2 linked regions of the Mus musculus genome follow. The protein of the gene in region 1 interacts with the protein of each later gene in a pairwise test. Links are inferred from orthologs where the notes say so. Each region holds a gene or a part of one and is shown on either strand. Other genes may lie near its edges.

Region 1 (6,112 bases):
ACTCCTGCTTTCCAAGTGTCGATGCTATGGGGAGGATCTTATGCCAGGCACGATCAAAACTTTATACAGCAGCCATCTGGCTTCTAAAATCCATGGGCAGGCAAGCTTTCCCAGGTGGCTCTGATAATAATGTTTAAGGACTTAAAGAGAAGCCGGATAGGCTAACATGAAGCCCTTTGCTTTGGTCTGCACCCTTGATTTCCTCTGGGGCTTTCCAGAAGTAATGGTCCAATATTCTATTTGAAAAATCTAGGATGGCATTCTGGAAAGAAAGAATGAAAATTGGGGTGGGGGAACCAATCCCCAAACTACTATACATGTTTTAATTAGATGCTTATGTTGGGTTAGTTAAGTCTTCGAAAAATCAAAAGGCTCTGGGTCTCTCTCTCTCTCTCTCTCTCTCTCTCTCTCTCTCTCTCTCTCTCTCTCTCTCAACAGGGTTTTTCTGTGTAGCCCTGGCTTTCCTGTAACTAGCTCTGTAGAACAGGCTGCCTCTGCCTCCCAAGTGCTGGGACTAAAGGCATACAGCATTCCTGTGGCTGGGTTAATCCACTTTATGGTTACAATCCGGAGTGTTTCCCTTTTAGTGTTTAGTTAAGGCTAGCACTGAGAGAATTAAAGGTGGGTGCCCTTGCTGATCTCAGAAGGTCAGAAGGAGAATCATTTGATTTGTGTGATTTGCACATCTCAGTAGGAAGGGCAGCAAGAATGGTGAACAACGGGAGGGAAGGGAGGCTGCTCAGTCTGAAGGTCTTATTAAGATGGAGCATGACAGGGCTTGAGGGACATACTAGATTTGGTGAGAGACAGGGGGATATGGACTGAGGTGGGCATCAGAACAGGTGCAGGGCACACTTTTACAATGTGTCTGACCTAATGGGGGTTTTAGCCCAGTGCTTCGTTCCCTGGCCCGACTGAAGCCTACTATGACCTTGGAGGAGGGACTGCCGAGGGCTCTGCAGGAATGGGAGCGGACCAGCAACTTTGACCGGATGATCTTTTATGAGATGGCAGAGAAGTGAGTTTGATGAACCCTCATTCACCCTGCAGGGGTGGGGGAGTGGTCGAATACAGGGGTAGCGGAGATGGGGAGATGTCTGTAAGTGTCTGGTGCGGGAGGGGTGTAACAGAGCTTCAGCAAGGTAGCTTAGGTACCACAAGCCTGACAACCTGAGTTTGATCTTAGGACTCACATGGAGGAAGGAGAGAAGGGGTTCCCAGAGGCTGTCCTCTGAGGTCTATACATACACATTGTACACACACACATACACACATGATACAAATAAATAAATAAATAAATAAATGGAATACATTTTAAAATAGAATAAAGTAGTGCCACAGGGGGAGGGCTGTAGGCCAGATGAGGGTCTCCTGGACCCTTCCTGTTTCTACCACCTGAGCTCTGGGCTTACTCTATCCTGTCTGTTCTTGAAAGCTTCCTTGCCTCCAGGTCTTGAGCTGTATGTGGCTTTTATCTTGAAGGGGTTAGCATAGGATTGAACCCAGGGCCTCTAAAAATCCCATGCTGAGAGAACCTCACCATGAAGGCTCTTGAGCTCGCCAGATGGCACGTGGCTATTGATCTGGAACTTTACAAGCACTTTTCCTTTCATGGTTTGCTTTGTTTATGTTTTTAAAAATAGTACAGGAAACAGGTTCTCCCCCAATCCAGGGAGGGACCAAGTCTGGAAAAGGTTGGCGAGAAGAAACAGGGGACTCTGGGTATCCGGTATACCCAGAGTGGTCTCCTGATTCTTTATTCCCCATTTCGACAGGATAGCCATGTCTTAAAAAGTAACTTTGGTTGGCCGTGTTGTGAGTCAGCACACATGGCCCCAGGGCTGACATGGGAGTACTATTTGAGGCCAGGAGTTCAAAGCCAGCCTGGGCAACATAGTGAGAATCCTTAGCACAGCAACTGGGGAAGAAATCATTTCCTCCAAGTATATCTTTTTTTTTTCCCCTCTGTTACCCTTGAGGACCTGTTCCAGCCTTTGCACTCTGGTGGGCTCTGCTTCCGCCATCATTTTCAGTTGTAGAAAGGGGCAGATGAGGCCATCAGGAACAACCCTTTGGAGTGTCCCTCTAGACTGTTACATGGGCCATGCTTATATGGATTCACCAAGCTTATATAAAGTAGCAATTAATCAGGACACTGGGTGAGATTGATAGGCAGCAGAAGTAAAGGGTATCACTTTGTCCTGGAGAGTTATCCAAACTGTATACCACCAGTTTCCTTATTTAGCTTCTTGAATAACCACTGAAGGTGAAGGGACAATATAATGGCATTTCTCAGAACTGTCACTAGGCTACTACCTACCTGTGAGCAGCTTACCCTGACTGACCCAACTTCAACAGTATTGAGCCAAATGGAGGGTGCTTGGTTTCTTGGCCATGTGTGGATGCTGCCTGGCGTCTGTGTTACTGATGGACTGGGTTCTCCTTATTACAGACTGTACTTTTTTTTAAAAAAATGTGAATTGTTTTTCCATTTTATGTACCTTGGTGTTTTGCCTGCATGTATGTCTGTGTGAGAGTGTCAGATCTTACAGTTACAGACAATTGTGAGCTGCCATGTGCGTGCAGGGATTTGAATCACTGAGCCATCTCTCCAGCTCTGCCCAGTCTTTCTTTACCCTTGCAGGTTCATGGAGTTTGAGGCCGAGGAAGAAACACAGATACAGAATGCACAGTTGATGAATGGCTCCCCGGGTCTGTCCCCTATAGCCCCTTTGAAACTTGATCCTCCAGGGTCCATGGTCCCTGAGGCTTGCCAGCAGCCAGGTAAGGCCACCCGCAGTGCAGACGAGGATTAGGAAACTCTGCTTTTGCTTCTGTCTGTCTTTCCTGGGAGTGACATTGTTATAAGCCAAATGCAATGCCCCCTAGGAAGCTGGGGTGTTAGCTCCTTTTGTCTTGAATGAGCTATTGATCTTGGCCAAGTAAACTACTCTCTCATCTGGATTGTGCATGAGTCCTATCCTTTATCGGACATGGCGTTGGATCAGATGGTTTGTTGGGATGTCAAGGTGTGTGGAAAGATTTCTAACCGTGTTTTCTCTCACACCCCCTCCAGCTTTTTATGTTTTCTCCCCTAACACCTCAATCCCATTCTGGAACCCGAATTTCTTCCCTTCCAAGTATCACTGGGAAGTAGATACCAAGGCTCCTTCCCCACTCTCCACCTCTTCCCTCAGTGTACATCCCTAAGAAGGCAGCCTCTAAGACTCGGGCTCCTCGGCGGCGGCAACGCAAACCTCAAAGGCCTCCTGTTCCCGAGGCACCCAAAGAGATCCCACCTGAAGCTGTGCAAGAATATGTTGACATCATGGATGGGCTGATGGGAAGCTACGTGGACACTGGGAAGACAGAAGAGGAGGAGGAGGGGCAGCAGGAAGGTGCAGGGATGTATCCAGATCCAAGTCTTCTGAGCTACATTGATGAACTCTGTTCTCAGGAAGTCTTTGTCTCCAAGGTGAGCTAGGTCTACAATGGCTAATTTCTGGTATTTGGGGGCGAGGCACTATCAGGCATCAGCTCTCTGGGGTTCTGCATGTGGTAGGAGCCTCCATCCTATAATTTTGAATAGATATCTATGAGTTGGATACTGTGGGGCACCAGCCATCTGGGGTTCTGTGAAAGTCAGTAGGCTCCATTCTATAATTTGGAAATAGGTATACAGGTAGGTAGCTGATGGTAAGGACTACCACAAATTTTTGTAACAAACTCCAGCATTAAAGTTTGTCTCTATGGGCTATGGGCCTCATAGATTTGTCTCTAGAGCACCTGGGCTTACAGATCACTCCATATCAAGATTTACACCACTCTCCTTTCTGTTCCCCAGGTGGAGGCAGTCATACACCCTCAGTTTCTGGCAGATCTGCTGTCTCCAGAAGAGCAGAGAGATCCTTTGTCTTTACTTGAGGAACTAGAGCAAGAAGAAGGACTGAATCTTGCCCAGGTAAACTTGGGAGGCAAAGAACACAGGCAAAGGATCCTGGCTGATTTTGTATAACCCTTTGATATCTTGATACTGTTTGTGAGAGAATTTAGGTTTGGGCTTTGGGTCATATAAGGGCATAGAAATCAGCAGTTGAATAACACAAGGATAACCTTCACACAGTGCACAAAAGCATTATGCCTACAGTCTAAAGCAAGTAGGGAGGGAACGAGGAAAGGCTCACAGCTCTAACGCAGAGAGAGCTACAGTATCTATCTTTGACACCATCACTTAAAACACTTGCTTTTCTTCCCCACACTATCTACCATCTCCTATCACCCACTCAGCCACCTCTTCTCCTAACCATGTATAGAACTGGCATTTGTCCATTCCCTTCCAGCTGGTCCAGAAACGACTCTTGGCCTTGGAGGAGGAAGATGCACAGACACCTCCAAGTTGCAGCGGAGCTCAGTCAGACTCAAGTCCTTCTGTTTCTGATGAAGATGAAGACGGGGGTCAAAGGCGTCGGCCCTCACCTGGGCTTCAGGGGGCTGCGGGCATTGTTCGCATTGGAAAATCTGCTTCTCCAGGCAAGCAGGCAAGAGAAATACATGGTGGGCAGGAACAAACACTAGGTGGTCCAGCGGGGATTCACAAGGATGGAAATAATCTGCCATCCCCTAGCAGCTGGGATGTACAGCTAGAGCTCACAGCTTCACAGGGGATGCCAGTACTCTTGGGTATGGAGAGAAAAATGTCTGGGAAGGCTATAAAACAGCTATCTGCAACTCAGGATGGCCACCTGGGAAGGACTGGGTCCCCTGGGTACTACCCAGTAGCAGATAGGAATCCAGAGGTTTTACCTTGTTGTTGGCAAGAAGATCCCCAACACATGAGAGCCCCCAATTTTGATGTTGGACTTACAGAGCCAGTTCCTCTGCAAGGACTTGGGTTAGAAAAACAGGCTTTGACATTGCAGATAGGAAAGCGGATCGGGGGAGCTGGGATGCTTACTCGAGGAAGAGAACCACCTTCAGTGGTTTCCCAGAAGGGCTCTTCAAGGGCCGTGCGGGGAGATGACAGAGGTCCTGGTATGCTTCAGAGTTACAGTCAAAACCATTCCCCTGGAGCAGCTGGCAACCTAGACAGGGTTTCTCTCAGCCCAGGACTGTGGCTGAGCAGTGACATGGGTGCTGTAGGTTTAGAGCTTCCCTTACAAATTGAGACTGTCATAGACAGCATCCAAGATGAGGCATGCAGAAGAGAGGACCAGGCATTGAATTCTAGAAACAGTGCTTCTCTAGGTCCTAGAAAAAACACAGTGCCCAAGGATGTGGGGAACAGTGTGATTCCCTCTGGAGGCCCAGATACAACAGCTGTCCCAGAAAAGAGAAACCCCTGCAGCTTGCCAGGATCTTTGATGGCCAGTGGTCCAGGTTTGAGGTCCAAAGAAAAAATTTCCAAAGAAAATCAAGCGCTGAGCCCTAAAACCATACAGAATCCTAGTGATCTGTGGGCTGAAGCTTGCCCCCCACTGCTGCCAACACTTGTCTCTTCCACACTGGGGTCTTCCAAAGACACCCTGATACCCACATGCCAAGGCAATCTTCTTATCATTGGGACCCAGGATGCCTCCTCTCTTGCCCAGACTAGCCAAAAGGCAGAGAGCAGAGGTAATCTACTTTTTCCTCTGTTGGAAAACATAGATCAGGTCACCATACTAGATGTTAAAGATGACAGTTGCCCCCAACCAGGGGTCAGCAAGGATTCCTGCTTATCAAATTTTAATTCTTATAACCTCCAAGGAGAGGGCAGGGAAGATACTGTTTCCTCCAAACCCACCGACCTTGTTCCTTTACAAGACAATCAAGAATCCTATACACATGAGACAACCAAATTGACAAATGGCCAGGGCCAGGGAAGTACTTCCCCAAGGTGGGCAACCAGGGATGCTTATATTTTGAGAGAAACCCCTATTAAAGAAAAATGCACCTCAGCAGATAGAGCCAAAAGAAGAGAGACAGAGAAGGAGGAAGAAGACGAAGAGCTCTCCAACTTCTCCTACCTTTTGGCTTCAAAACTCAGCCTCTCTTCAGGAGGGCTTCCCCTTAGTACTCGTCAGGCCTCTGGAGGTCAGGGAATTGTGAAAACATCCCGCCACTCTACTGAAGT
Region 2 (6,112 bases), on another chromosome or scaffold:
TGTCTTTCTTTTTCTTGTCTTTCCTTCTCAGAAAGTCCCTAGTTCCTAAATGCAGATAGGAATTCTGGAGCGAGTACAGGAGGGGCCTTAAAATGTGATAGTAGGTACTGGGGATGATAGTTAATATGAGCACAAAAGCAACTCTGTCTGGAGCCTTCCCAGAGTACCATGGAGCAGGGCTGAGTCTGCTGTGTCTGTGGGCTCTGAATGTGACTGTTGGCAAGCCTGGTGGGCTAACTCAGACAATGTTATCTTTCTAGTGCGAAAATCTAAGGCGGCTGATGAGAAGAGACGCTCTTTAGCTAAACAAGCACGGGAAGACTACAAGAGGCTATCCCAAAGGGGGAGGAGTGGGGACGGACTGCAGAACCCACTGACAGGTCCACAGAAGCCCAGAAGACCTCCTCTTCCTCCGAAGCCCCAGTTCCTACAGCCGCTGGGAATCCCTCCAAAGTCTTTAGGGTAAGAAGCCATACAGAGGGGTTTCATCATAAGGGCCAAGATGGACTGATTAAAACTGTGTTCCTTGGGGCATGAGATGCGGTGGATGTTGGCTCACTGCTTAAGTCAACACAGGCTTGCCTCTAACCCGGCTTCCTTGATTCCTTTCTTTCCTGTAAGTTATCTACAGTGGCTAAAGTTTGAACCCAACCACAGGGTGACGATGTCAAGGTGACTTGCTGTCCCTACCTCCATCCAGTGGCAACAGGCTGACAGAAACGAGGAGGGGGAACATGCAGGCCGAAGGGTGTTTAATGATCAGCATTGCCTCTAGAGACTAAAAGTAACATTAGGATCTTGGGCTACTTTTTATTGCTGGAGTCAAGGTTTGATGGCAGCTCTCTCCTAAGACACAGAGAGAAGATCACAGTTTCAGAATTTTGAAAGGATCCATTTTGGAACAAAGTCTCTATTTGGAGATGAAATTACATTTACCTTCTAGGGGCAACACGTGCTCGAAGATAAAAACGAAAAATTTAGTGATCTAGAAGAAAACAGCATCTTTCATGTTTACTGACTAACAAATTCTTTTTTATAACTACTGACTTATATAGAATGTTATTAATATTCTAATATTTATTTGTCTGCTTGTAGCAGGATCAAACCCAGGGCCTTTCACATGTTAGCTAAGCAGTCTGCCACTGAGCTACATCTTCTGCCCCTAAAAACTAAAAAGAATTCTGTTCAGAGTTTGGGAAAATGAAACAAACAAACAAACAAACAAACAAACAAAATTTCTGTGTTTTAATTGCTTAAGTAATTTTTTTCTGAGGATTATGACCTCAGAGGAAACACAAGAGTGAATTATTCCCCCACTGTAATCATTTCTACGTTCTCCACTGAAAGTCCCCGATTGAGACGTGGTGACCCTCTACATGGTTTGGAAAATGAAGTTTTATTTTTCCACCTTACAGCTAAAAATAAAGTCAGGAAATACACACCTCCTGAGCTTTGTGACCGGTCACAAATGGGCTCCTGTATGTGGCCTTGCCTAGTGGAACTCTGGCTACAGAGCTCCACAGTCAGCCTTTTCTTGTTTGCTAGCCCCTAGCATGGGATATGTCTCACCTGATGTCTTTCCTGTAATGATTTTAGGGCACACTATATTTGATGGATGACAGTGAAAGTGGCCTTTTAGGGTGGGAAACAGTTTTTGTCAGCTGTACTCAGCTTGTTCTTTTCCAGCTTACAGCAATGTAAAAGAGCTCCCTGTGTGTCAGAGTAGACAGGGACTCTGGGCAGTTATGACAGGTAAGCCAGGAGAAAGGCAGACACTAGCAGACACTAGCCTGTCCCATGTATGTGGGGTTTGCTCTATCTCTGAGGATTATGTGGAGAAAAGGAGGCTAATGTGGGAACTAGCATTAGAATTTGTCATGTGATCTAATGTGTATGCAAGGTCAGCTTCGGGGAAAGACAAATATTGTAAGATATTTTCTCTCAAATCCTCTGAATGGCGTAAATGATAATACATAGTCATATTTGCATATGTGTGTGTATATATGTGTGTGTGCATCTCTGTATGTGCATGTGTGTGTGTAAGTGCCCACATGCACATGTCTGCAGAGCTGTTATTTCACATGGAAATCATGGCACATACAGTATGTTGCCATCGGAAGCACAAAGGGCCACATTAATGTGTATCATGGAAAATTCCAGTAGCTCATCCAATCTCTTTATTTTAGATTTAGATTTAGATTCTGCTCAGCTAGTGGCTTGTTGAACAGGACTTGGGAGTGTATTTATTACATCTCTGCGCTGCCTTCTGCAGTAGAACCCATCTGTGCCAGGGTGCCCTTCTGATGCTGAGTTGGATTCAAAATGGTGTTATTGCTAATTTTCCCTCCCTAGTCTGCAGACATATTCCCTTTACCTTCTTGTTTCTAGGGCATCTTTTAGTAGAAAGAAACCTCTTCAAAGTGTGAGAAAGAAGCAAGTGAGGGAGGTGAGCAGAAATGGAGACTTTGAGGAAAGGCACGCACTGAAGGAGTCAGGGAGGCAGCTTGCTCACTGCCTGCGCTTGCCTTTGTCTGCACAGCCAAGCACTCCAGGGAAACAGCTTCAGGTTCTGAATGCTTCTTTTCCCAAATGTTAATTGAAGGTGGATCTTCTAACCCAGGGTAAAATGAATTTGGTTCTAACCTAGCAGTGGCTATTGCTATGCCTGGCCCTAGGTGAATGGGCTTTCCTTTCTCTGATCTTGGGAGCCATGCAATGGTGGCACGTGGGGCACCTAACCTACTATTACCTCTGCCTTGTGATTAGATGTTGCAAGTGGAATGCATATAATTCTCTTCCCCCACCTCTTCCTCCTTTCTCTTCTCCCTTTTCCCTCCACACCCTGTCTTCCTTCTTCCCTCTCCCTTCTCCCTCTCTGTATAAAGTTGTCCCTCAGCATCTGTGGAGGCAATTCCCAAGATCCTTTGAAGAGATCAAATGTGAAGGATGCTCAAGCCCCGTTTATAAAATGCTGTAGTATTTTCCTGTAATGCATCCATAATCACTCTGCACCTTAATCTCTAAATCATTTATAATGACTAATACACTCTAAGTTCTATATAAATAAGTAAATAATTACATAATATTGTTTGGGAAATAATGACAAGCAAAAATGTCTGTCTATGTTTAGTATAGTTGCAATTTGTTTCTTTGAATACTTCCAGTCCTCTATTGGTTGAATTGATGCAGACCAGTTTGTGTGTGCATATATATGTATGCATACACACATATACATTTATATACGTATGCATGTGAGTGAGGCTATACACACCTTCATTATTTCTTTTTTTTTCCTTAAATTACAGTTGCAACTTTAATTCTCCTTTAGGACAGATTTATAATTATAGGAGAGATTATAAAGTAACACATTTATAATCAGATTATCATAAATTACCATAAGCTTAATTTTTATTGATAATTCCTATAATATTTTCTGATCACACTTCTCCCTCATCTCCTCCCAGGTCCTCCCGACACCTTCACCAATACAACTCTATATTTTCTTTCTTTCTCTCTTCGGAAAACAAGCAGGCAAACAAAACAGAATAAAAAAATAACTTAAAAATAAACAGTGAAGAAGTATAAGATACACACAGACAAATAAAACCTTTAAAATATAAAATTCAAATCACAATATAGAATCAAAAGACCAGTGAGATTTTAAAAAACAAACAAACAAACAAACAAACAAACAAACAAACAAAGTATCACGATACAAAAACCAATCTGTGAGAACACCTTTGAGTATGCTGTGTATTGGGCACTGGGCATCCTTTAAGTGTGGTTTGGACACCCAGTGAGAAGATTGATGTTTTTCCTTTGTAAGTGGTTGTCAGTTGGTGATAGCTTTGGGGTTAGAGATGGGAATTCAAGTCCACTCCCTCTCTCAGCACTGGATGCCATCTGACTTGGACCTGTGCAGGCTTGTGCTTTCAGTCAGAGTCTCTTGATTTCATGTGTGTGCCAGTCCTGTCGTATCTGGAAGACACTGTTTCCTTGATGTCACCCATCCCTTCTGGCTCTTACACTCTTTCTGCCTCTTCTCCCGTATCACTTCCTGAGCCCTGAGGAAAGGGTTTGATAAAGACATTCCATGTGTGGCTGAGTGTTCCCAGGTCTCTCACTCTACAGAATGTCTGCCTATGGGTCTCTGAATTAGTTCCTATCTGCTGTAGGTGGAAGATTCTCTGATGGTGGCTGAGCAAGACACTGATCTATGAGTGTGGCAGAATGGAGAACATTATTTCAAATTAGTCATCCCTAACTTGGGAATCATCTTACCCATGACAGGAATCAGGGGGTGATAAGGACCGAGATCAGCTCCGCCCAGATGGACACCATTCGATGGTTCAAAGAGGAACAGTTGCCATTCCGTGCAGGTTACCAGAAAAACTCAGACACCATTGCTCCTTGGTTCCATGGTGAGTACTGAGACCACTTCTATGGCAGACCAAACAGTGCTCACTTCAAGAACGACAAACGAACAGTAAGAGCTTTCTCTTCCCTTCTTCATTTGTGCTGCGCTAACAGTCTTTCAGTGTATTGCCACTGAGCCTTTTCTTAAAGGCTTTTCAGAGAGCTGTCTGCTGGTGCTTACTTAGAAAGCTGTCAGCATTCATGGCCACTGCAATGAAATGGGCTAATCATCCTTCACCACAAATACAATACTCCAGGGAGGGCGGGAAAGGCTTCCTAGGGACTCGGCGGACAGAGTGTGACTTCAGCACATGCTATTGTCTTCCTCCACTAGAACGTCAGTGGTTTGACAGACTGAGGCAGGGTTAGCAGGCAGAAGGCCAGCTAAGCACCAGCTCTTTCATATCCAGTTCAGTGACCTTGAAGAAGCAATGATCTCTTTCAATCGCTACTCAAACTACTAGAGCCCCAATTTTCTTATCTCTTAAAGGGGAAACTGAAGCTATTTTAAAATTCACTTTACATCCCCATCTTAGCCTCCTCCCTCCTTTTTCCCAGCCTCACCCTTCTAAATCCCCCCCACCCATTGAAGTGGATCCTCCCTTGGGTACCACCTCACCCTGGGGCATCTAGTCCCAACAAGCCTAGGCACATCTTCTCCCACGAGGCCCATCCAGGCAATCCAAGTAGGGAGAAGGAGATCCAATGGCAGGGAACAGAGGCTGCATAGCTCCTCCTGCCCCATTCCACTTGTTAGGCTAACCACCTGAATACCAAGGTGGTTTGCTACAGGTATGAGAGGTTTAGGTCCAGCTCCTGCATGATCCCTGGTTGGTCCTGTGGCTTTGATCCTGTTTTTCTGTTGCTCTAACAAGTCTGCAAGTCTACAAGTTCTTTGAGTCGTTGGACAGTATGAGCTGATGGTTTCAGCATTTGACTTAAGATATTTGTTTAATTAAGGCTACTCTGTTGCCCTAGGTCATATCCCCTGACTGCTTCAGTTCAAGAGCAATCAGATATTTAAGACCAGTGGACAGGGACCTGGAGTACAGCTCTGACTCAGTTAGTCACCCATAATGTACAAAGTGATCAGTTCTAACCCCGACCCAGAAAATAAAAGAAGGCATTATGTGTGCTTGGACTGGACTTATTACCTAAGTGTTTATTCAAGGCAATCTCTCCCACTTCACACATAGAGTGTCTTGGTTTGAACTGTGTGTAAGGCATCTTACTGTTTAGTAGTATTATTTCATATATAAATAGACCACAAAAAATAAGTTTCCAAACACCCAGCAAGAGCAACCACTTCAAAAACCCTGGCCCGTCTATGATATCTTTTCCCTGATAGCTGCTTTAGTAGCCCGTGTCTCAGCAGAACTGCCAGGTGTCCTTGAACCTGTGCTTTGACTTTGGTTTCATTGACTCCTAGAGATGCCCCATGCTCTTGTGAGTAAGGTCCCTCTGTGGTGTGGTGATGTTGTCAGAGACTAACAGAACTCTGCTGATTCTGTATGCCTTCAGCATAGCCACCTCTGCTGTCTGCTGACCCCACCCCACCCCCATTTCCTTTTAAGATAAGCACAGGAAATCAGCCTTTGTAGTTCCTGTGTCCTTGAGCAGTTGCTGTGTGCTGTTGTCCCTGATTATGAGAGCAGTCACATTTTCATTTCTGTCTTTTGGTTTTTTTTTTTAAACA

What was found.
Region 2: the proteins of Nutm1 (region 1) and Sh2d4a interact in binary tests that used the Homo sapiens proteins (3 or more experiments, as listed by UniProt). The two-hybrid records come from large-scale screens. The link is inferred for Mus musculus from reciprocal best matches to the Homo sapiens genes NUTM1 and SH2D4A.

Annotation. Positions count from the first base shown.
Region 1 is NC_000068.7:112,248,408-112,254,519, reverse strand, and holds part of Nutm1 (NUT family member 1), read left to right. Parts: intron 1-889; coding exon 890-1,018; intron 1,019-2,644; coding exon 2,645-2,784; intron 2,785-3,197; coding exon 3,198-3,475; intron 3,476-3,844; coding exon 3,845-3,961; intron 3,962-4,340; coding exon 4,341-6,112. UniProt on the Homo sapiens protein: Plays a role in the regulation of proliferation. Regulates TERT expression by modulating SP1 binding to TERT promoter binding sites.
Region 2 is NC_000074.6:68,330,775-68,336,886, forward strand, and holds part of Sh2d4a (SH2 domain-containing protein 4A), read left to right. Parts: intron 1-260; coding exon 261-462; intron 463-4,290; coding exon 4,291-4,421; intron 4,422-6,112. UniProt on the Homo sapiens protein: Inhibits estrogen-induced cell proliferation by competing with PLCG for binding to ESR1, blocking the effect of estrogen on PLCG and repressing estrogen-induced proliferation. May play a role in T-cell development and function.